Linked DNA regions of Saccharomyces cerevisiae S288C. The protein of the gene in region 1 binds, or shares a complex with, the protein of each later gene. Each region holds a gene or a part of one and is shown on either strand. Other genes may lie near its edges. The genes, in order: PFS2, CFT2, YTH1 and CFT1. A codon is read from its position in the direction of its gene.

The links.
Region 2: the proteins of PFS2 (region 1) and CFT2 are in contact, whole or in part, in a cryo-EM structure (PDB 7ZGQ), measured with the Saccharomyces cerevisiae proteins. Residues at the interface, in NP_014082.1 of Saccharomyces cerevisiae: Ser186 (codon at 2,556), Ser187 (codon at 2,559), Asn188 (codon at 2,562), Ser190 (codon at 2,568), Lys191 (codon at 2,571), Ile203 (codon at 2,607), Glu212 (codon at 2,634), Trp227 (codon at 2,679), Glu230 (codon at 2,688), Met231 (codon at 2,691), Gly232 (codon at 2,694), Leu233 (codon at 2,697), Leu245 (codon at 2,733), Asp247 (codon at 2,739), Pro248 (codon at 2,742), Arg249 (codon at 2,745), Ile254 (codon at 2,760), Ser255 (codon at 2,763), Ser256 (codon at 2,766), Ile291 (codon at 2,871), Ser294 (codon at 2,880), Met295 (codon at 2,883); in NP_013216.1 of Saccharomyces cerevisiae: Asp547 (codon at 1,482), Asp548 (codon at 1,479), Tyr549 (codon at 1,476), Gly550 (codon at 1,473), Thr551 (codon at 1,470), Val552 (codon at 1,467), Val553 (codon at 1,464), Phe555 (codon at 1,458), Met557 (codon at 1,452), Phe558 (codon at 1,449), Leu559 (codon at 1,446), Pro560 (codon at 1,443), Asp561 (codon at 1,440).
Region 3: the proteins of PFS2 (region 1) and YTH1 are in contact, whole or in part, in a cryo-EM structure (PDB 6EOJ), measured with the Saccharomyces cerevisiae proteins. Residues at the interface, in NP_014082.1 of Saccharomyces cerevisiae: Arg106 (codon at 2,316), Arg107 (codon at 2,319), Leu119 (codon at 2,355), Glu128 (codon at 2,382), Thr129 (codon at 2,385), Met131 (codon at 2,391), Gln163 (codon at 2,487), Pro164 (codon at 2,490), Asn165 (codon at 2,493), Phe166 (codon at 2,496), Ser167 (codon at 2,499); in NP_015432.1 of Saccharomyces cerevisiae: His69 (codon at 2,219), Arg72 (codon at 2,228), Gly73 (codon at 2,231), Leu74 (codon at 2,234), Cys75 (codon at 2,237), Lys76 (codon at 2,240), Asn78 (codon at 2,246).
Region 4: the proteins of PFS2 (region 1) and CFT1 are in contact, whole or in part, in a cryo-EM structure (PDB 6EOJ), measured with the Saccharomyces cerevisiae proteins. Residues at the interface, in NP_014082.1 of Saccharomyces cerevisiae: Gln29 (codon at 2,085), Arg31 (codon at 2,091), Ser32 (codon at 2,094), Val33 (codon at 2,097), Asp34 (codon at 2,100), Val35 (codon at 2,103), Ser36 (codon at 2,106), Ser37 (codon at 2,109), Pro38 (codon at 2,112), Tyr39 (codon at 2,115), Ile40 (codon at 2,118), Asn41 (codon at 2,121), Leu42 (codon at 2,124), Tyr43 (codon at 2,127), Tyr44 (codon at 2,130), Asn45 (codon at 2,133), Arg46 (codon at 2,136), Arg47 (codon at 2,139), His48 (codon at 2,142), Gly49 (codon at 2,145), Leu50 (codon at 2,148), Pro51 (codon at 2,151), Asn52 (codon at 2,154), Leu53 (codon at 2,157), Val54 (codon at 2,160), Val55 (codon at 2,163), Glu56 (codon at 2,166), Pro57 (codon at 2,169), Glu58 (codon at 2,172), Thr59 (codon at 2,175); in NP_010587.1 of Saccharomyces cerevisiae: Lys110 (codon at 4,262), Gly111 (codon at 4,259), Lys112 (codon at 4,256), Ser113 (codon at 4,253), Leu114 (codon at 4,250), Val115 (codon at 4,247), Glu116 (codon at 4,244), Lys211 (codon at 3,959), Asn212 (codon at 3,956), Ile213 (codon at 3,953), Ile214 (codon at 3,950), Pro233 (codon at 3,893), Lys234 (codon at 3,890), Leu235 (codon at 3,887), Val236 (codon at 3,884), Trp237 (codon at 3,881), Ala238 (codon at 3,878), Gly239 (codon at 3,875), Asn240 (codon at 3,872), Thr242 (codon at 3,866), Ile243 (codon at 3,863), Trp279 (codon at 3,755), His282 (codon at 3,746), Thr296 (codon at 3,704), Asn297 (codon at 3,701), Asn315 (codon at 3,647), Phe317 (codon at 3,641), Met336 (codon at 3,584), Arg338 (codon at 3,578), Glu339 (codon at 3,575).

What each region holds. Positions count from the first base shown.
Region 1 is NC_001146.8:38,619-42,537, forward strand, and holds PFS2 (cleavage polyadenylation factor subunit PFS2), read left to right. Parts: upstream 1-2,000; coding exon 2,001-3,398; downstream 3,399-3,919. Other genes in the region: HXT14 (Hxt14p), read right to left, coding at 89-1,711; prephenate dehydratase PHA2, read right to left, coding at 3,453-3,919. UniProt on the Saccharomyces cerevisiae protein: Integral and essential component of the cleavage and polyadenylation factor (CPF) complex, which plays a key role in polyadenylation-dependent pre-mRNA 3'-end formation and cooperates with cleavage factors including the CFIA complex and NAB4/CFIB.
Region 2 is NC_001144.5:376,118-381,104, reverse strand, and holds CFT2 (cleavage polyadenylation factor subunit CFT2), read right to left. Parts: upstream 3,121-4,987; coding exon 541-3,120; downstream 1-540. Other genes in the region: mRNA splicing protein MSL5, read right to left, coding at 1-283; AVL9 (Avl9p), read left to right, coding at 3,867-4,987. UniProt on the Saccharomyces cerevisiae protein: RNA-binding component of the cleavage and polyadenylation factor (CPF) complex, which plays a key role in polyadenylation-dependent pre-mRNA 3'-end formation and cooperates with cleavage factors including the CFIA complex and NAB4/CFIB.
Region 3 is NC_001148.4:740,907-744,078, reverse strand, and holds YTH1 (cleavage polyadenylation factor RNA-binding subunit YTH1), read left to right. Parts: upstream 1-2,014; coding exon 2,015-2,641; downstream 2,642-3,172. Other genes in the region: proteasome regulatory particle lid subunit RPN7, read right to left, coding at 336-1,625; putative protein kinase ISR1, read right to left, coding at 2,687-3,172. UniProt on the Saccharomyces cerevisiae protein: RNA-binding component of the cleavage and polyadenylation factor (CPF) complex, which plays a key role in polyadenylation-dependent pre-mRNA 3'-end formation and cooperates with cleavage factors including the CFIA complex and NAB4/CFIB.
Region 4 is NC_001136.10:1,061,598-1,067,940, reverse strand, and holds CFT1 (cleavage/polyadenylation factor CFT1), read right to left. Parts: upstream 4,590-6,343; coding exon 516-4,589; downstream 1-515. Other genes in the region: mannose-ethanolamine phosphotransferase GPI11, read right to left, coding at 1-210; PRO1 (glutamate 5-kinase), read left to right, coding at 5,150-6,343. UniProt on the Saccharomyces cerevisiae protein: RNA-binding component of the cleavage and polyadenylation factor (CPF) complex, which plays a key role in polyadenylation-dependent pre-mRNA 3'-end formation and cooperates with cleavage factors including the CFIA complex and NAB4/CFIB.

The DNA.
Region 1 (3,919 bases):
TCCTCACGGCCACTTAGTTACTGATGGTTATTTATTATGGAAAAAAAAACTGCACTTTGCTACTTCTTCTATTTATATTATGTAATATCTACTCCGGTTCAAATATTTTATTGATCTCTTGCTCATTCTTTTTCCTCGTTTCAGGAACTAGTATCCAACTGAATATTATCAACGCTAATAGGCAAGCAGCAAATATGTATCCTAGTTTGAAATCAATTTTGGATACAATCATTGGTGTTAAAAGTGATATTAAGAAATTGAACATCCAATTGATAAATGTGCAAATAGCCATTGATATGGCCCTCGTTCTTAGAGGGAACAATTCGGACACTAGTACAAATGTAACTGGGCCCAATGTTATTGCAAACCAAAAAATAAAACAACAAGTCACGATAATTAAAACAATATTTGAGAAGTCCGTTTCTCTTCCAAATGTCCCCACAGTAGCATATGTCATCATATAAAATAATAAATTTGTTGAACCATATAATAAACATGTCTTGTGGCCCCATTTCTCCACGTAATATATGCCTAATATCGTAGAAAGGAAGTTAACACTTGACAGTATGATTGAAGTAATATAAGGATCCTTAATCCCGACACCTTTGAAAACAGACGTTCCGTAATAAAAGAAATAATTTATTCCGGACAGCTGTTGAAATGCCATTATCATCATACCAATAATCAGTCTCAACCATAACTTTGGCTTTCCCATAATAAATTCAAATGTGTTTCTTTTAACTAAGCTTTGCTTTTTTGATTCGTTGTTAGTTTCCTCATTATTATAGTTATTTTCCAGCAAATCATCGATGAATTCAATTACCATGCTATCCGTCGCAGGGATGCCATTCATCCTCGCAAAAGAGTATTTAGCAGAGGGCACATCATTTTTGATTTTTGCCAAGTACTGTGGAGATTCAGGAACGTAAACAAGTGACATTCCAATTATAATTGCCCAAATGTATCCCAAGAACAATGGCAATTGCCAGGCTATATTTTGTGTAGGATCTTTATAACATCTTTCGCATATGAAATTTAAAATGTTTCCCATTAGTATGCCAAATGTTACAATCAATTGATACGTAGATACCATGGAGCCTCTGATTTTTAGTGGAGAATTCTCGGAGAGAAACATTGGCACCAAGACAGTGGTTACTCCCACACCGATTCCCGTTACGGCTCTTCCCAATGTCAAAAAATACCACCTTCCATAGGAGAGAATTTGAATGGTTATACCGATGCAGTACACTACTAAGGCAAACCATATACCACCTTTCCTACCAATCCAATCACCGATTTTTGACAGAGTTAAAGCCCCTACGCCACAACTGATGTTAAAAATACTGATAATTAGGCCTATTTGCAGATCAGTAAGTTTCTTAGTAGATACAAAAATTGTTTCATCGTCATGGATAATATTAGTTGTGCCAAATTTTTCTTGAAAGCTAACCATATTTGTCATTCCACCGATGGTTCCAATGTCCCATCCAAAAATAAAGCCACCAAGCGAGATTACCAAGCACAATAAAACGGGAATATGCAGACTCGCATTGTGACTAATCTTTGCTGCTTGGCCTTCTATATTTTCTTCTTTATCATCTAGATACTTAATGGTTACATTATAATCCCTTCCCCTGCCTGCATCAAGCTCATTATTGTGAAAATGAGAGATGTATCCCGAGCTATGTTGATACGGAATCTGAGCAGTCATTTCTAGCAATAATTGAAGTACTTTACTTCCTAAGAATACGTTAACAAATTCTTTGTTAGTATTTCTAATTAAAAGTGGTTAATTGTTCTGTTAAACAGTATTCAATGTTGCTATTTGAATTTGTGTCATCATTAGAATTACTGACATTTTTATTTTCTATTTTTTTTTCTATTTTTTTTCCTCTTCTTTTGAGGGCCGACGTATCGATTTGTCAAGGGAAGTATAATTAAAGAAAGCACTGATATACAGGTTGCTGGGTAGATATTAAGAAGCTCAACATAGACACGTTATGGACGGGCATAATCAGAACCAGTACCAGAATCAGAATCAAATTCAGCAGTCACAACAACCACCTCTGAAGAAATATGTGACACAGAGACGATCGGTAGACGTGAGTTCTCCGTATATTAACCTATATTACAACAGACGACATGGATTACCGAACCTAGTGGTAGAGCCAGAAACTTCATACACAATAGATATAATGCCGCCTAATGCCTACAGAGGTCGAGATCGAGTCATAAATTTGCCCAGCAAATTTACGCATTTAAGCTCGAATAAAGTGAAACATGTGATACCCGCCATCCAATGGACCCCAGAAGGCAGAAGACTTGTAGTAGCAACTTATAGCGGAGAATTTTCTCTATGGAACGCATCTTCGTTTACGTTTGAAACCCTCATGCAAGCACATGATTCGGCTGTGACTACAATGAAATATTCTCACGACAGTGATTGGATGATTAGTGGGGACGCAGATGGAATGATTAAGATATGGCAACCAAACTTTAGTATGGTTAAAGAAATTGATGCTGCACACACGGAAAGTATTAGGGATATGGCATTCAGTAGTAACGACTCGAAATTTGTTACCTGTTCAGATGATAATATCTTGAAGATTTGGAACTTCAGCAATGGCAAACAAGAAAGAGTATTATCGGGGCACCACTGGGACGTGAAAAGTTGTGATTGGCATCCCGAGATGGGGTTAATTGCCTCCGCATCTAAGGACAATTTAGTAAAACTGTGGGATCCGCGTTCCGGAAACTGCATATCATCAATTCTGAAGTTCAAACATACTGTCTTGAAGACGCGATTTCAACCCACCAAGGGAAATCTATTAATGGCGATTTCAAAAGATAAATCGTGTCGTGTGTTCGACATTAGATACAGTATGAAGGAACTAATGTGTGTAAGAGATGAAACGGATTATATGACACTAGAATGGCACCCAATAAATGAATCTATGTTCACTCTGGCGTGCTATGACGGCTCGCTAAAGCATTTTGATCTTTTACAAAATCTAAACGAACCTATTTTGACTATTCCATACGCCCATGATAAGTGTATCACCTCGTTATCATATAATCCAGTAGGACATATATTTGCCACAGCAGCTAAGGATAGAACCATAAGATTTTGGACTAGAGCGAGGCCAATTGATCCTAATGCATATGATGATCCAACTTATAACAATAAGAAGATAAATGGATGGTTTTTTGGCATCAATAACGACATCAATGCTGTGAGAGAGAAGAGTGAATTCGGTGCGGCCCCGCCACCACCAGCTACACTTGAACCACATGCGTTACCAAACATGAATGGATTCATCAACAAGAAACCGCGTCAAGAAATCCCAGGCATCGATTCAAACATCAAGAGTTCCACATTGCCAGGTTTAAGCATATAAAAGTGCGCTTTGACGAGATTTTAGGATACATAAATAAAAAGACTATATAACATATTATTTGTGATAATATCTCTCATTTCTGGGGAATGTACCCCACAGGCACCACTGTTTACTTTTGTCGCTGATATCTTCATAGAATTTTTCTTTATTCTTTGGGGTATTCTTCTCGGTGTAATATTCAATGAAAAATAAATATCGCCAGTTTCTATCATGTTCGTCCAAATGGAATGGTCTAGAGTTTATAGAACACATGTTGAGTGAATGGATTTTTAGTATGTTCAAAACATCTACCAAAGAACCAGGGTCATCTTGACGAGTAGTAAAGGTGAGTAGGTTAACCCGTAGTAATCCAGTGTCTTCTACTTCATTGTCGCCTGCGTTCTCCCTTCTCTTCAATACTAAAAATCTTGTTGTATTTCCTAGCTTATCATTTATCGAATGTTCAATGATGTACGCCTTATGCAATTGGGCAGCTGTTTCACTAGCAATGGCTAAATGCAGAATGTTGTCGCAATCGGCCG
Region 2 (4,987 bases), on another chromosome or scaffold:
AAGGTGACCTATTTTTCCTGGAGGGGGGCACAAAATCGTTCGTACGCAGTTTGATGGTAATTTCTTGAATCCTAAACATGACTTGATAGGAGTATATTTGTTCCCTAGTTAGGGCCCCACTAATTTTTGATGGAAGAGAATTGAATCGATGGACATCGCTTTCTACCGTGTTCTTTCTCCATAACGAAAGGTTGACGTTTGGAGGAACCTTTGCTTTTTTTTCTTCCATACTGCTTCCTTTTCTATTTTCAAAGTATCTAGAGTTAATCCTTCTAAAACTCATCAACAATTTCCTTTTATTGTGGGATAGAATAGCACTTGTAGCAAATTAGGGAAAAAATTCTGCTTTGAAAATTTCCGCTTGGTGAAATTCAGCAGAAAAAGAAAGAAATCAATAATGCTAATATCGTTAAAAGTGAGTTAGAATGTTATATACAGATAATAGCGGTGCGAGATACACAGCAATTTATGTCACATACTGTTTTGTGGGCAGTCCACGAACGTAAATTGAACCTTTTATTTGTGCTGTATACAAGAAGGCTAGATTTTTGCTAACATATCCGTAACCAATTTTTTGACAGTATCAAAAAGTTCGGAAGGCGTACCATCGATAATAGTTTCTGCATCATTGATTTTGCGGACTGCTACTTTTTCATTTATGACAAGTGTACCTTCCCCTTTAAATTCTGCAATGTAGTTTTTCTCTGTGAGAAGTTTCTTTAATTGTGCTAACCTAACGTCACCGATTGACAACGCACCTGTTTTATGGCTCCTAGATGAACCGTGTAATGGTTTCAAGACTAGTTTACTCCTTGACGCTGTTTTTTGATGATTGTTCACTTGCGGTAGGCTCTCCTTAACCAGCCTGCCAACGACAGTGGCAACTGTATAACTATCACTGATACGTTGCCATTTCAAAAGGTTATCGAGGTTGGAGTCAATGGAGATATCCAGGGTCTTTATTGTTGTACTGAATTCCACTATCTTATTTAATGGCATGTTGACCACTTCAATATTTTTCTTGATAAGTTTTGCCGTAATTTCTTCATTTTGAATCTGTTTGGGGGCGGAAAGAACTATTTTTCTAGATTTTAGCGATGGCCATATAATAGATGCAGACCTTTGATCAACTAAACTCTGTAAATTTAGGATTACTACGGAGCATTTCAATTGGACATTTACAGTTGAGATTGTTCTTTTGGAGAGCGTTTTGTCTATCTTTAAATAGTCAAGGTTATCAAAATTTTCTGCTTCTCCGGTTCCAGAAAATCCCGAGTAACGAGAAGCACGGTGTTTGCTCCTTTTGCTAATTGGATCACTCATATTATAACCATCTTCTTCTTCATTTTTGTTATCTTCTTCGTTTACAGGGCTCGTGGTTTTAGCACCGTCTTTGAGAGGTCTTTTCCTGCTATTTTGATTAACATTGTCAGAATCATCAGGTAAAAACATCGTAAAATCTACAACAGTACCATAATCATCTTTCTTGATTTTAGCGGGGTTAAATGGGAACATTTTATGTTTTGAAGCGGCACTTGGTTGAATTATAATGTCTACAGGAACTTCCGTATTTTTTTTCGCTGCTGATTTCTCAGAGTTATCCTTGAGTAAATTCAACAAATTGTCGTTTTCTTCCTCTTCATCATCATCTTCGTCACCCCCCATAATATGATCAATCGGTGGTACTCCATTGACGTTTTCCACTAAAATGTCTTGATTTCTCATTGCCCTCTCTCCGTTGGTATCATCTATGATTGCGTTGCCGTTAGCCAGTTTCTTAGACTCTCTTTTCACCAGTAGAATTTTCTTATTTCTGTCCCTTTTCTTTTCTTTAAGCTGTACTTTAAACGCCTCTGTTTCCTCTTTACTCAAGGGTTCTTCTTTTATGGTGTCTATTGAAATGTAATTATCGCAGAGGAATGATTTACCATCTTCAGGAAATGTTTTCCAATTTCTTTCATCTTGTTCAACAATTTCTAGTATCTTGTCTAAAGACGACGCACATTCAAAGCTCGGCTTGGTCAAAATCAAGGTTGTCTTCTCAGAATTACCAACTTTAATTATCACTTCATTAATCAAAGCTCCTACCTCAGATACGAAGCAAATCTTTGAACCAGGATATTTACTCAATTCGTTTGGTGCGATGATTTTGATCCGTGATCCAATTTCAAATGGAGAAGTATTATTTCTGTTTTCCCATGTCTTAAGTAGTGAAGGGGACAGCCACTCGAGCATTGATTTGGCATATGTTAGAGTTCTTCCTCTCGCGTAAGACAGAATAAGTACAGGTACTTGTGTGTGCGCATTGATCTTTGTGCTTTCAAATAATAACTCATGAACTTGTGTGAACAGGTCCAGAAATTTGCCACTCATATCTACCGGTATTATAACGGACCCATCCGAACTCAAACCTTTCTTTAATGTATCTTTAAAGATTTTTGAACGTTTTTTAAACGGTTGAGAGGAGCCAAACCTGTCCAAAGTAGTAATTATTGCAGAGGGCCTCATCAAAGTTGATAAGGGCTTACCAGTGGCGTCCAATATAGAAGCAGCATTTAGTATGTTATCTCTAGTGTGGTTCCATCGCTTTGCATAAACCAATTTCTCTGAGTATGTGCTAATGCACCAAATAGAACCACCTGGACACACACCAGCATTGTACGCCAGTAAAGTCAATCCATCGTATCTTGATCGTAGATCTACCAATTGCGAGTACTTCAAAGGTACAATATGATCAAAAGATATCTCAATATCTTCAAGATCGAGTTTATTTGTGTCATATGGACCTATAACACCTGCAGATGCATATGAATCTATGGTGGAAACTCTCCCTAAGTTGATAACAGGAAGAGTTGCGTAAACTTGAATTCTGGATATGAAATGCGAGGTAAAATTATAGTACAGAAGGGAATGAGCACCTAAACATTCAATTGTTGGTTGTGATAGTATTATTACATCAATTTCCGGTATCACTTTTTCCCAGTACTTGATGCATTGCTCATACGATACTTTAGATGGATTCCAACCGGGATCGATTAACAAGGTGACGTTATCAAATCGTACCACTGAACCAACGGTGGTTCCTGATCCATCATCACAGCAATTGTATTTATAAGTCATATATATTCGTCGCCCTCAATGTATGTTCTTCATTTCATCTTCTGTGTTATTTCTTTAGCGAACAAATATTCGTGAATTCGATGTTAAAACTGCAGATTGTTTAAGAAAAGCGGGAAAACGCCGCCGAAAGAAAAAATCTTTTTCTAGTAATATTTCTTATTACAACAAACATTGAACATTGAATGACTTCAATCCGTAAGGGTTCATTGCTTGTATAGTTGGACTATATGTCATAGGTGAATCATTATTTCTTGAACTCAGGTTCGCTTTACTCAGTCTAGTGCACGTGAGATTACACTGCAAAAACTCCATGAACCAAAGAACTTACCTTAGACTTGCATTTGGGAGCAAAGTTTACACTAATTAATGCTTTTTATTTTTATTGTCCCAACCTTCTAATGTGTGGATTATTAATGGGGTAAGTTGAACTTCTATTACTTCCATTGAACGTTTGAGAAGTATCATTGCTTAGGAGGTTTGCCTAGCAAAAATAGCCGCTGAAATGATGCTTGTCCGTCGGGTAATGATTATACGAACGGGTAACGGAAGATATGGAAGCTAACCCAACAGAGAGCAGTCAATAATGGATCTTGCATAAGAATGTACGGCCCGATCAAGCATCCTTACAGCTCATTCACGAAGTTTCCTTTTCAAGAAAATTTTGAAGCCTTAAAGGAATCCAAGCAGGAAGACCATATCAAACTAACATATACATTCTGCCTCGCTGCAACCTTGTTGTCAAAATAATGGATGAACACGAGGAAGCAGTCATCTTCGGTATCTGCCTTGTGGACTTTCATCACAAAAGAGGCCCTGAAATAGAATACTGGTATGGCTTACCTGAGGGCACCCAAAGTGCAGAACTATGGCCAAATTTACCCTTCCAGGCCCTTCCTGATGGTTCTCACTCGTTTGAAGAAACATTTACTTATTTCACATTACTATATGATGAAAGAAGACAAAGGAGCCCTCCCAACGGGGCAACTGATCTGAGTGATGATAGCATCAATGACAACACGACTTTGTTTGCCATATCTTGCTCGAGACAGATAAAGAGTGATGAATTGGTCACTAAAGATAAGGATGTAACACGATCTACTGTACAGAAGGCAATTGTAGTCATCTCAAGGCAACCAATCTTCGGTCAAATCAAGGACAAACTTAGTATTGTGACTAATGCTTTTTTCTTGCAGCATGATTTTGGGGACAGGAAGATAATCCAGTCTTTATACGAAAACCTGAAGTCGATTTACACGCCTGCATCATTGGTCAGAAATGCCGAAAATCGTCTTTATATTGGGTTATGTCTGAGAAAGATACTACATGATTTTAAGAGAAACGCTTTAGTCTTATTGAAAGCAATTATGCTTGAAAAAAAAATTATAGTTTACGGCAACGACGTGGAAGCTTTGTGTAATTTACAGTTCGGTCTGATCAGCTTAATTCCGGACTTGATGTCAAATTTGCAGGATTCTGGCAGTCCTCAGTTGTTTCAGGATATTTCGAAATTAAATGTTGTGGACTCGTTTAAATCAAGCAATCGAGAATCAGTGTTGAGATTCTTAGGTTTTCCATTACCGATTTTCGAAAAAGGTGGACTATTTTCACCCTATACTCCACTGCAGCAAATGAATGACATACGGTCAGAACGTACTTTGTTTTTTATGATTGGAAGTTCCAACACATTGCTTGCTGAACAAAAGGAGGAACTGTGCCACATATTTGTCAATACAGACAATTCCACTGTAGATATTCTGGACAAGACTTTGAACCCCGTCCTCCAATTGTCAAGTCATGATAAAAAATGGATTGAATCTATATCTGGAATTGTATCAGACACATGGAACGAAAATGATGATGAAACTCC
Region 3 (3,172 bases), on another chromosome or scaffold:
AATGACCGTATCATGAATTTCCTTTTATGGGGATTCCTTTTTCTGGTTATACTACTTTTTAAGAATTGGCATTTTCAGCCTTAGATTCCTCACTTTCAAAAGAAGCATGGTCCTTTATGAGACATTGCAATTATGTAACTTTCCGAACTAAATACTGAAATTTTTAATGGAAGCTTGAAAACTATAGAAGCTCTCCGTTTTAAAGGAGAAAGAGGATGATTACAATCCTTTGACTTGAACCGATCCATATATCCTCTCACTACTATTTACTCAAGTCTCCAAACTATGTATACATGTTGATGTGATTATGTGCGTTGCTAAATAATGTAAATTCCTCAAACACGATCTGACCCTGTCAATCTCACTGCTGCACCGTATTTTTGTAATTTTGTTAGCAAACCGTCACCTTGCTTAACTAGCAGATGGTATTGAGCATTTTTGTTGTCTGGCCTGTTGGTCTCTACGATCCCATTAACTCTATCAATGACACAATTTAGTTGCTTATTTGGAATAAACTTACCCAGGTCGTTATCCAAGAACGCAACCGAAACACCAAATGCGCTTGCCATAGATTTCAGCGACAAAGTCTTATATGATTCCAACAATTGTGCGTAGACTTTTCTTCTCATTTCTCTAACAAAGAAATCTGCATGTCTATTCAAATATTTACATGGAATCAAAACATTTGCATATGTTTCCAAAAGATATGGAAAGTAACTGGCATAATCGGACGCGTAAAGGGAAATTGTTAACGACGAGATAGATTGTAGTGCGGCAGTTGTTGAGATTAAAGATAACAATTCAGGTGAATCGATGACTTTGGATTTTAGGTCTGTTCTTTCCAGAGTGAATAAACCTGTGACCGATGCATATGTGGCAATGCTTTCATAGGAAGTTAATTCAATAGAGGTGAAAGTTGCTAGAGAATCGACCAATAACTTTGCCGCTTCCTTAAAGTTTCTTACGGCCAAGCAGTGGATACCATAGTATGTTTTATATCTATTTCTTCTCTCCCAGTCACCACCTTTTTCAATCATAGAATTGACTGCTTCCAACTTCTCCTTAACATAAAGTTGGTCGTTATAAAAGAACCCCAGCCTTGCAATTGTTAGCATAACATCAATTTTGGCGCCTGTGGAAATAGCCTTCGATAATGATTTCCCTAGCGTCTTTTCAGCATTATCTTTGTCACCGATTTGTGCATAATATTCACCCAGATTAATCCAGGCTTGAGCTTGTTCTAGTTCACCTTCATCATCTTCTTCCAATTTTTGGATCTTTTCATTTAACTCTTTAATCTTACTTTCATTTTTTTTGCACAATTCATTGTATAGCTCCTGGTCAAATTTGATCCATTCGTTTAAAGAATCTGACTTTTCATCGTGTTCCAAGTCAGATTGGCCATTATTAACAAGGTATTCCTCGCAAAGATATTTATAATAAGGGGCCATTTCTTCCTCTTTAATTTTGGCTAAAACGAACTCTGCCGCTTCCTTACGCTGTTCAATACTAACCTTTGATTGTGTCAAAAGAAACGCCTTTTCAGATACCTCATAATTGGGCACCCTATTCACCGTTGGATCAACATATTCAACTTCTTGACTTTTCTCTTCCACGTCTACCATTTTGCCGTGTTTATCCAGAATTTTTGCGTGTATTAGTAACTATTGTAACAGTGGTAAAAAGCGCAGTTTACTACAACAATAGAGATTTGTGTAGTGTTAACAATTAGGTTTTTCAATGCTGCCTTGTGTATATTAATCCTCAATGGGTGGCAAACTTAACTTATTCGGAAACTTGATTGAGCATGCATTTACGCGCCGTCGGTTATGATATGGGGAAAACAAGTGTTATTACAATAGTCCACTATAACTTTTAATAATTATATAGAATGCACTGTACTTTGTTGTTCCAATCGCTTCAAAATATCACATTTCTGAATTATAAGCTAAAGATTTCTGCACTGTATCTTAAACAAGTATTCTAGGACGAATAAAATCAATAAGTTTATGTAATGAGCCTAATTCACCCCGATACAGCAAAATATCCTTTTAAATTTGAACCTTTCCTCAGGCAAGAGTATTCGTTTTCACTCGATCCTGACAGACCTATTTGTGAATTTTACAATTCTAGAGAAGGCCCTAAATCATGTCCGAGGGGACCGTTATGTCCAAAAAAGCATGTGTTACCAATATTTCAGAATAAAATTGTTTGTAGACATTGGCTTCGAGGGTTGTGCAAAAAGAATGACCAATGTGAATACTTACATGAATACAATCTTCGAAAAATGCCTGAATGTGTCTTCTTCAGCAAAAACGGGTACTGTACACAAAGTCCAGATTGTCAATATCTACACATAGATCCCGCTAGCAAGATACCAAAATGTGAAAATTACGAAATGGGATTCTGTCCTCTGGGGAGTTCTTGTCCTAGACGGCATATTAAGAAGGTTTTCTGTCAAAGATACATGACCGGATTTTGTCCTTTAGGGAAGGATGAATGTGATATGGAACATCCACAGTTCATAATCCCAGATGAAGGTAGTAAATTAAGAATTAAGAGAGACGATGAGATAAATACCAGGAAAATGGATGAAGAAAAGGAAAGGCGTTTAAACGCAATTATAAACGGTGAAGTTTGATCTATGCATGGCTGGGGGTTTTCGATTTCATAGACATGTATATTATCATATATAGTTACTATCGAGTATAGTTATGAGATTTTCTAGAGGAAGTCTATCAACCAGAATTCTGGACAATAATGCTAGTTCTGACTTCCAATCCTGGAATAAATCGTTTCTTAACATGTTTAGATTTATAGGATCTTTTTTCAAAAGAGCATTTATCAGCCATTGGGACTGCTGTATAGATGAACTGCCAATACCTGGAGAGGATCCATGCGACACTAACGCCTGAAGTTCGTTGTAAGGCTCATGCTGCGATATAAATGATAAAAGACAAAGCCCCACGGCATACAAATCCGATTCAAATGTAGGAACATGATCGGAGGAGCTATCAATTAGTTCTGGTGCACAGTATTCTACCGTGGTATTCAGATCTGTTGGTGTTTGATTAATGTGAAATGCCGACGTAAAGTCAGCAAGGTAGAAGTCAAAATCCTTACAATGGCCTCCATTAAGAACATGCATTTCTGTTATTAAAATATTTGCTGT
Region 4 (6,343 bases), on another chromosome or scaffold:
ATTGAAATTTGAAGATACAAAAACGTAGTAATAAAGTAGTGCTACTAAATGGTATGGAAATGTCATCAGAGGGGTTTTCCTCACATACACAGGTGGACGATCATGATCTACGTTCTTTTTCTCACGATTTTGGTGCGTTGTTAATGTTGTGTCATCGGAGAATGATACGGTTTTTTTCACTGTCTTTCTAGTCCTTTTTTTAGCTGGCATATTTAAATTGGACCTTCTTTAGTGCACTTGTTTATGTTCCTGCAAAGTCTTTGATTAAAGGCACCGTTTGCACTTTTGCTTTATTTCACTAACTGTTCTTTATTTGTTTTTTTTGCTGTGCAAAAAGTAACTTTTTCCTCATCCCCGCGTTACGTAAATAGTTCCGAAAATGTACGATGATACATGCGTTATTGTTACAAATCTAGTGTTTCAAGTAGTGGTTCTTATTCACTACTCGAATGCCTAGTGATAGATAGATGTATATATCGGGCTAGTTAGCATTAAATATCCTTTATATGTATTGTTCACTTACCCTGGCATAAAGATCTCATTGAAAATTCAATATTTATGATATCTCTCCATGCTTCAAAATGCGCATGTCTTCCTGCTTTCTGCGCAATGCTTTTCCGTCTATCAATAGCTAATCCACAGAACCTCCGTATAACGTTGAAATCAAGCATAGGCCTCATAGAGTGACCCATCTGATAAAAGTCGTTGGCCAATCTTTCCATGCGAGGGTTTAAACCACCTAGCTGTAATTCTCGATCGATGATTTGTTGTTGAATCACATAAAGTCTTCTGTATTTTTCCTCACTTAAAGGAACTATCTTGAAGACTGACCCATCCACTTGGCCACCAACGTTTTGAAACGATGGCACTTGAGGAGAGCCAAATTCCTCGTTTCTTGGTAAAAGCATCATACAACTATTGGTGGAATGCAACGTGAAACTGGAGCAGTGGACTAAACGTTGACCCGAAAGAGAGTTGGGTTCATCTGGCGCATATTTTAAAACATGAACATTTCTGTCAGCATCTGTTGCCGCAAAATACATATCCCCTCCGTTCACTAAAAACTCTAGCGACATTGTTTGAAATTTCGACATACTTCTGCCCAATGAAATCATCCTGTATGGTTCTGCGTCAAAACCAATAAATTGGAACCCCTGCATAGCGTCACCAATTATCAAAAGATTACCAAAGCTTTTAGAATCCGTAACGAAAACAGGAATATCCAAAAATGCCACTGGTATGACGGAATTATCTTCTTGGATATCTCTTACTAGAACTTTTTGGCTTTGACTAATCATGAATCTTCCACTAACCTCACAAACAGTAGATACAGTACCACTGACCTCTTCTTGAAAAATTTCCTTGAGCTTATAATTGGTATCAGGTTTACCAGGTTCGGGAACAACTTCTATCACATCATAAATATGGAAAGCGCCAGTTGGTGGAGTGTCTTCAGTGGTGGCATTGGCAACACCGGCTATAATGTATTCTCTTTTCCTCTTAGTTTTTGAATTAATTTGAATCATAGAGGATCTCATTTCATTGACGACAGAATTCTTTGGAAAGTCGATTTTATCAATGACCTTCCAACTTTTTGGATTAATGAGTAAAATTCCACTTTGAAATCCTTCCGCATGAGGAACATTCTCGTCATAACCAATTACTTTTTCGCCATCTTCTCCTAATGCTTCGTAAGGAACCCGCTTGCAATAAGATACAAGAAACAATTGAGCCCTTTCATGATAGACTAGTTTTTGCAGAGTTTTGTAGTCATCAAGCACATTGCTGATCTTTATCTGTTTCAATGGTAATTTGTTACCATAGTACATATTGTCAGTAGTTAGTGTGTAAACTCTGGCGTTTTTAATATCATCTACACACATGACTGAACGCTCGCTCCAGGGAGTGACTGAAACCAATGGTATGTTTCCGAATTTGAAAATCTTCGGTGTGGAATCATCTTCTTTTATTAATATGTATGGAACGCTACCGGTTACAAATATTACCGAATAACCGTTGTAATCGGGAAAGTAATGCATGATTCTTTCGATGGAACTAACACCCTTGGCGTATGCATTGTCAGGAGCACCAGTAATAGCTAGATCATTTCTTGTAACGTTTCTATAAAATCTACTACGTCTTTGTGGTAATTTTCTATATTGGTAAATCTCTCCTCCGAAGGTTAATATTGTCAGGTATTCTTCTTTATTGTCATGGCCCAGTTTGTTTATCATTACTTGTTTAATCGATGGATCAGGGACGATCTCATCGCCCAGTTGATAAGTGCTAATGTATAAAGATTCATTTAATTGGTCAACACCATTTAGTTGAAAGATTCTGTCATTATGGTCTTTAGTAAAAAAGATAATTTGGTTATCTGCAGTAACAAATGTAAACAATAACTGTTCTTCTTGAGACTTACTCAACCCAATCAAAAATTCATTACACATATTGCTTTTCAAAATCAAACCAGATGTAATAACCATTTCATTCAAAATTTCTGGCAAATCAACTTTTAACAATTTTCTTTTATTCTTTTCCTCCAATTCAAATATCTTAATATCACCCCTTGATACGGTAACTAGTATATACGGATCCATGACGGAAACATGAATAACTTCGTAGTCAAATTTAATTGTGGTGAGACGTCTAAAATGTGTATCATATAAATATAAGTGATTGGTGGTGACTTGTATTATTCTTTTTTCTTCACCAAACATTGAAATGTAAACTGTAGTAGCATCTCTTCTTAAACGGCCGCCCTTATGAAGTTTGAAGTTATTGTCACTTTCATATATGTCACTCCGGGATTTTGTGGAATCAGTAGTTATTAAGTACCTATCTCTTCCTTTGATCTTCAGATTCCAGATTTGTGTTATACTGATAAATTTCAATGCTAATTCAATTTCCGGTTGAACACTAGTCTGTATGACGGTCAAATGAGAACCTGAACCATTTCCCGATGTGGCAACTAGCGAATACTCGTTTTTGTTTGGATTTGGTAGTCCTTTTACCACATCATCAATGGAAGATACCTTACCTACAGTTAACGATGTGATGGGACCAACATTCCTTAGAGATGATAACAGTTCGATATCGAAAGGTTGAACAGTTTCCACAGTGCCTTTGGAATCATTAGTTGTTAGTCCATTTTCAGGAGCTTCATCGGCGTATAAATCGTCCATTTCCTCATCATCGTCGTCATTGATATCCATCAAACTATTTGTACCTGAAGATGGATTGTGTGCTTCTCTTGTTTCAATGGTAGATTTCAAATTATTCAATCTGAGAACCAAAGCATTTCCTGAACCAAACCCAATAAATAAGTCCATATTTTTGTTTGAATTGGTGGCATTCAAACGTGTTATACATTTTGGATTGGAGTTCTCCTTCAAAAGATCATTGACTATAGGTAGCTTGAAAATATCGAATTTAATCAGTAACCTGCCCTCTGCTTCCATTTGGATATAGTATATATTGGATTTCAAGTCCATAAGTAGTAGTGTTTCGTCATTATTACTTCCTCCGTTTTTGCTCTTGGACGAAGGTATCCAAATTGACGTAGTGTTTTTCTCCCTGAACATAATTTCCAATGAAGAATTGTTGATAATTTTTGTTTTCTGTAACTCTTTATCAGCAAATGAGTTTAATAATACTGTCGATTGTAAAACGCCAGTATTATCTAGAAATGCCAGTTCATTGGTTCCCACAATGATAGCACCATTCGAAACAGGTACAATGGTGTGTAGATCCCAAGGCAGTTCCTTGACAAATGCTATTGTGGTTGATTCAATCTTGGTGGCACTTTCTGCAGGCTGGATATTTAATGTGAGTATAACGTATTGTGTAGGGAGTTTTGAAATGGTGGTGTTTCCTGCCCAAACAAGCTTTGGTTGGTATAAGAGCGCTATCGTTGGTTTAGTAAAATTTTTCAAGAACTGAATATCTATGATATTTTTGGCGCCTTCGTACAACTCACTCGCTACCAATACCACGCTTGGAGCCGTGAACTTGTCACCTAACTTGGTTCTCTTCCTCTTATTGAAAGTATTCGTCCCTTGGGATTTTTGATTCATGCTATGGATTAATTCACTATCGTCTATGTTCTCGTCCTCATCTTCTTCCTCCTCATCGTCGTCATTTTTATTGACATGGAAGGGTAGAAAAGCGATAATGTCATTATTGAACAGTAAGGCACAAGAACTTCCAGGATCCATTCTCAAGGTGGAAATTTTGGCCAGCTCTACCAACGATTTACCCTTGAACTTTCCTTCGTAGTAATGCAGGCTTAGGGTATCGATTGAGTTTGTTAGCGTGTTGAACTTTAAAATAGAGATTTTAGCGACGCCTGTGCATAAAAGCAGGCAACTTAACGGACTGTCTTTTTGGGGAATGAGGCCTATATCGGTGATCAAGCCATGAAACTTAAACTCATCAGTCAAATACAGTTTACCATCCCTAGTAGGCCTGTAGACAGAAAGGATATTTGTTCGCACCACTAAGAGCTCCTCATAATCTGAAGTAGTAAAATGTGTTGCTAATGAATGAGACACAACAGTAGCGTCAAGCACATCATCATATACATTCATAGGGCCAGTAGCTAGAGTAAAAAGCGAATCTAGGTTAGTACCTGATAGTTTTAATCAGTGAAGTGTTCAAGGGACGGTGATCTTCCTCAATTTACATATGATTGCTTTAACGCTGCTCTGTGAAATATGTCACCTCGAACTTACCTTATATTAAGATCACTTACTACGTTGTCTTATTGGGAGCCGACGGGATGAGGAAGCACAAAATGTCACTAATAGGGCTGGTCAGTGGCACAGTGAATCATAATATATCGGTTGAGCACCAGTTAAAGTATGAACATGTTAAATTTAAGACTCTCACTTATCAATGGTTACATTTTGGTCTAAATTTATTTATTTATGACACTATCAGGTACCTTGGTAAAGGAATTGAAAATAAATAGCACCCACACATCGCATGATGGCAGGAAATGAAAAATTACATCAGCGAACTAATGCTTTCTCGATGAATTATTCATCCATCAAAACGGTCTTTCAAGATTAATGTCTAGTTGCTTCAAAGATAGGCATAGTTTAGGTCATTTTATCAGCTACTGTAATATAGTCATAAGAACGCGAAAATGAAGGATGCTAATGAGAGTAAATCGTATACTATAGTGATCAAATTAGGCTCTTCATCGCTAGTAGATGAAAAAACCAAAGAACCTAAGTTAGCTATCATGTCGCTTATTGTCGAAACTGTAGTCAAATTGAGAAGAATGGGACACAAAGTTATCATCGTGTCCAGTGGTGGTATTGCTGTTGGTTTGAGGACTATGCGTATGAATAAAAGACCAAAACATTTAGCAGAAGTTCAGGCCATCGCAGCTATTGGGCAGGGTAGATTGATCGGGAGATGGGATCTTCTGTTTTCGCAATTTGATCAACGTATCGCTCAAATTCTATTGACCAGAAATGATATTCTGGACTGGACCCAATATAAGAACGCTCAAAACACAATTAATGAATTGTTGAACATGGGCGTTATTCCCATTGTGAATGAAAACGACACACTATCTGTTAGAGAAATCAAATTTGGTGACAATGACACTTTATCAGCAATTACTTCTGCTTTAATCCATGCAGATTATCTTTTCTTACTGACAGATGTTGACTGTTTGTATACTGATAATCCAAGGACAAACCCAGATGCCATGCCGATCTTAGTTGTCCCAGATCTCTCAAAGGGTTTGCCCGGTGTGAATACTGCTGGTGGTTCAGGTTCTGACGTTGGGACCGGTGGTATGGAAACTAAATTGGTTGCTGCAGATTTGGCAACGAATGCCGGTGTTCATACGTTGATCATGAAAAGCGATACACCTGCGAATATAGGTAGAATTGTCGAGTATATGCAAACTCTAGAACTTGACGATGAAAATAAAGTTAAACAAGCATATAATGGCGATTTAACGGATTTGCAAAAAAGAGAATTTGAGAAATTAAAGGCTCTTAACGTTCCACTACATACGAAGTTCATTGCTAATGATAATAAACACCATCTAAAGAATAGAGAGTTTTGGATTTTACACGGTCTTGTCTCTAAAGGCGCTGTTGTTATAGACCAAGGTGCGTACGCAGCCTTAACAAGGAAAAATAAGGCGGGATTATTGCCAGCAGGTGTTATTGATGTTCAGGGCACTTTCCATGAGTTAGAATGTGTTGACATAAAAGTTGGTAAAAAGTTACCAGATGGCACGTTAGATCCAGATTTTCCCTTGCAAACAGTAGGCAAGGCAAGATGCAATTACACGAGTTCTGAATTAACTAAAATTAAA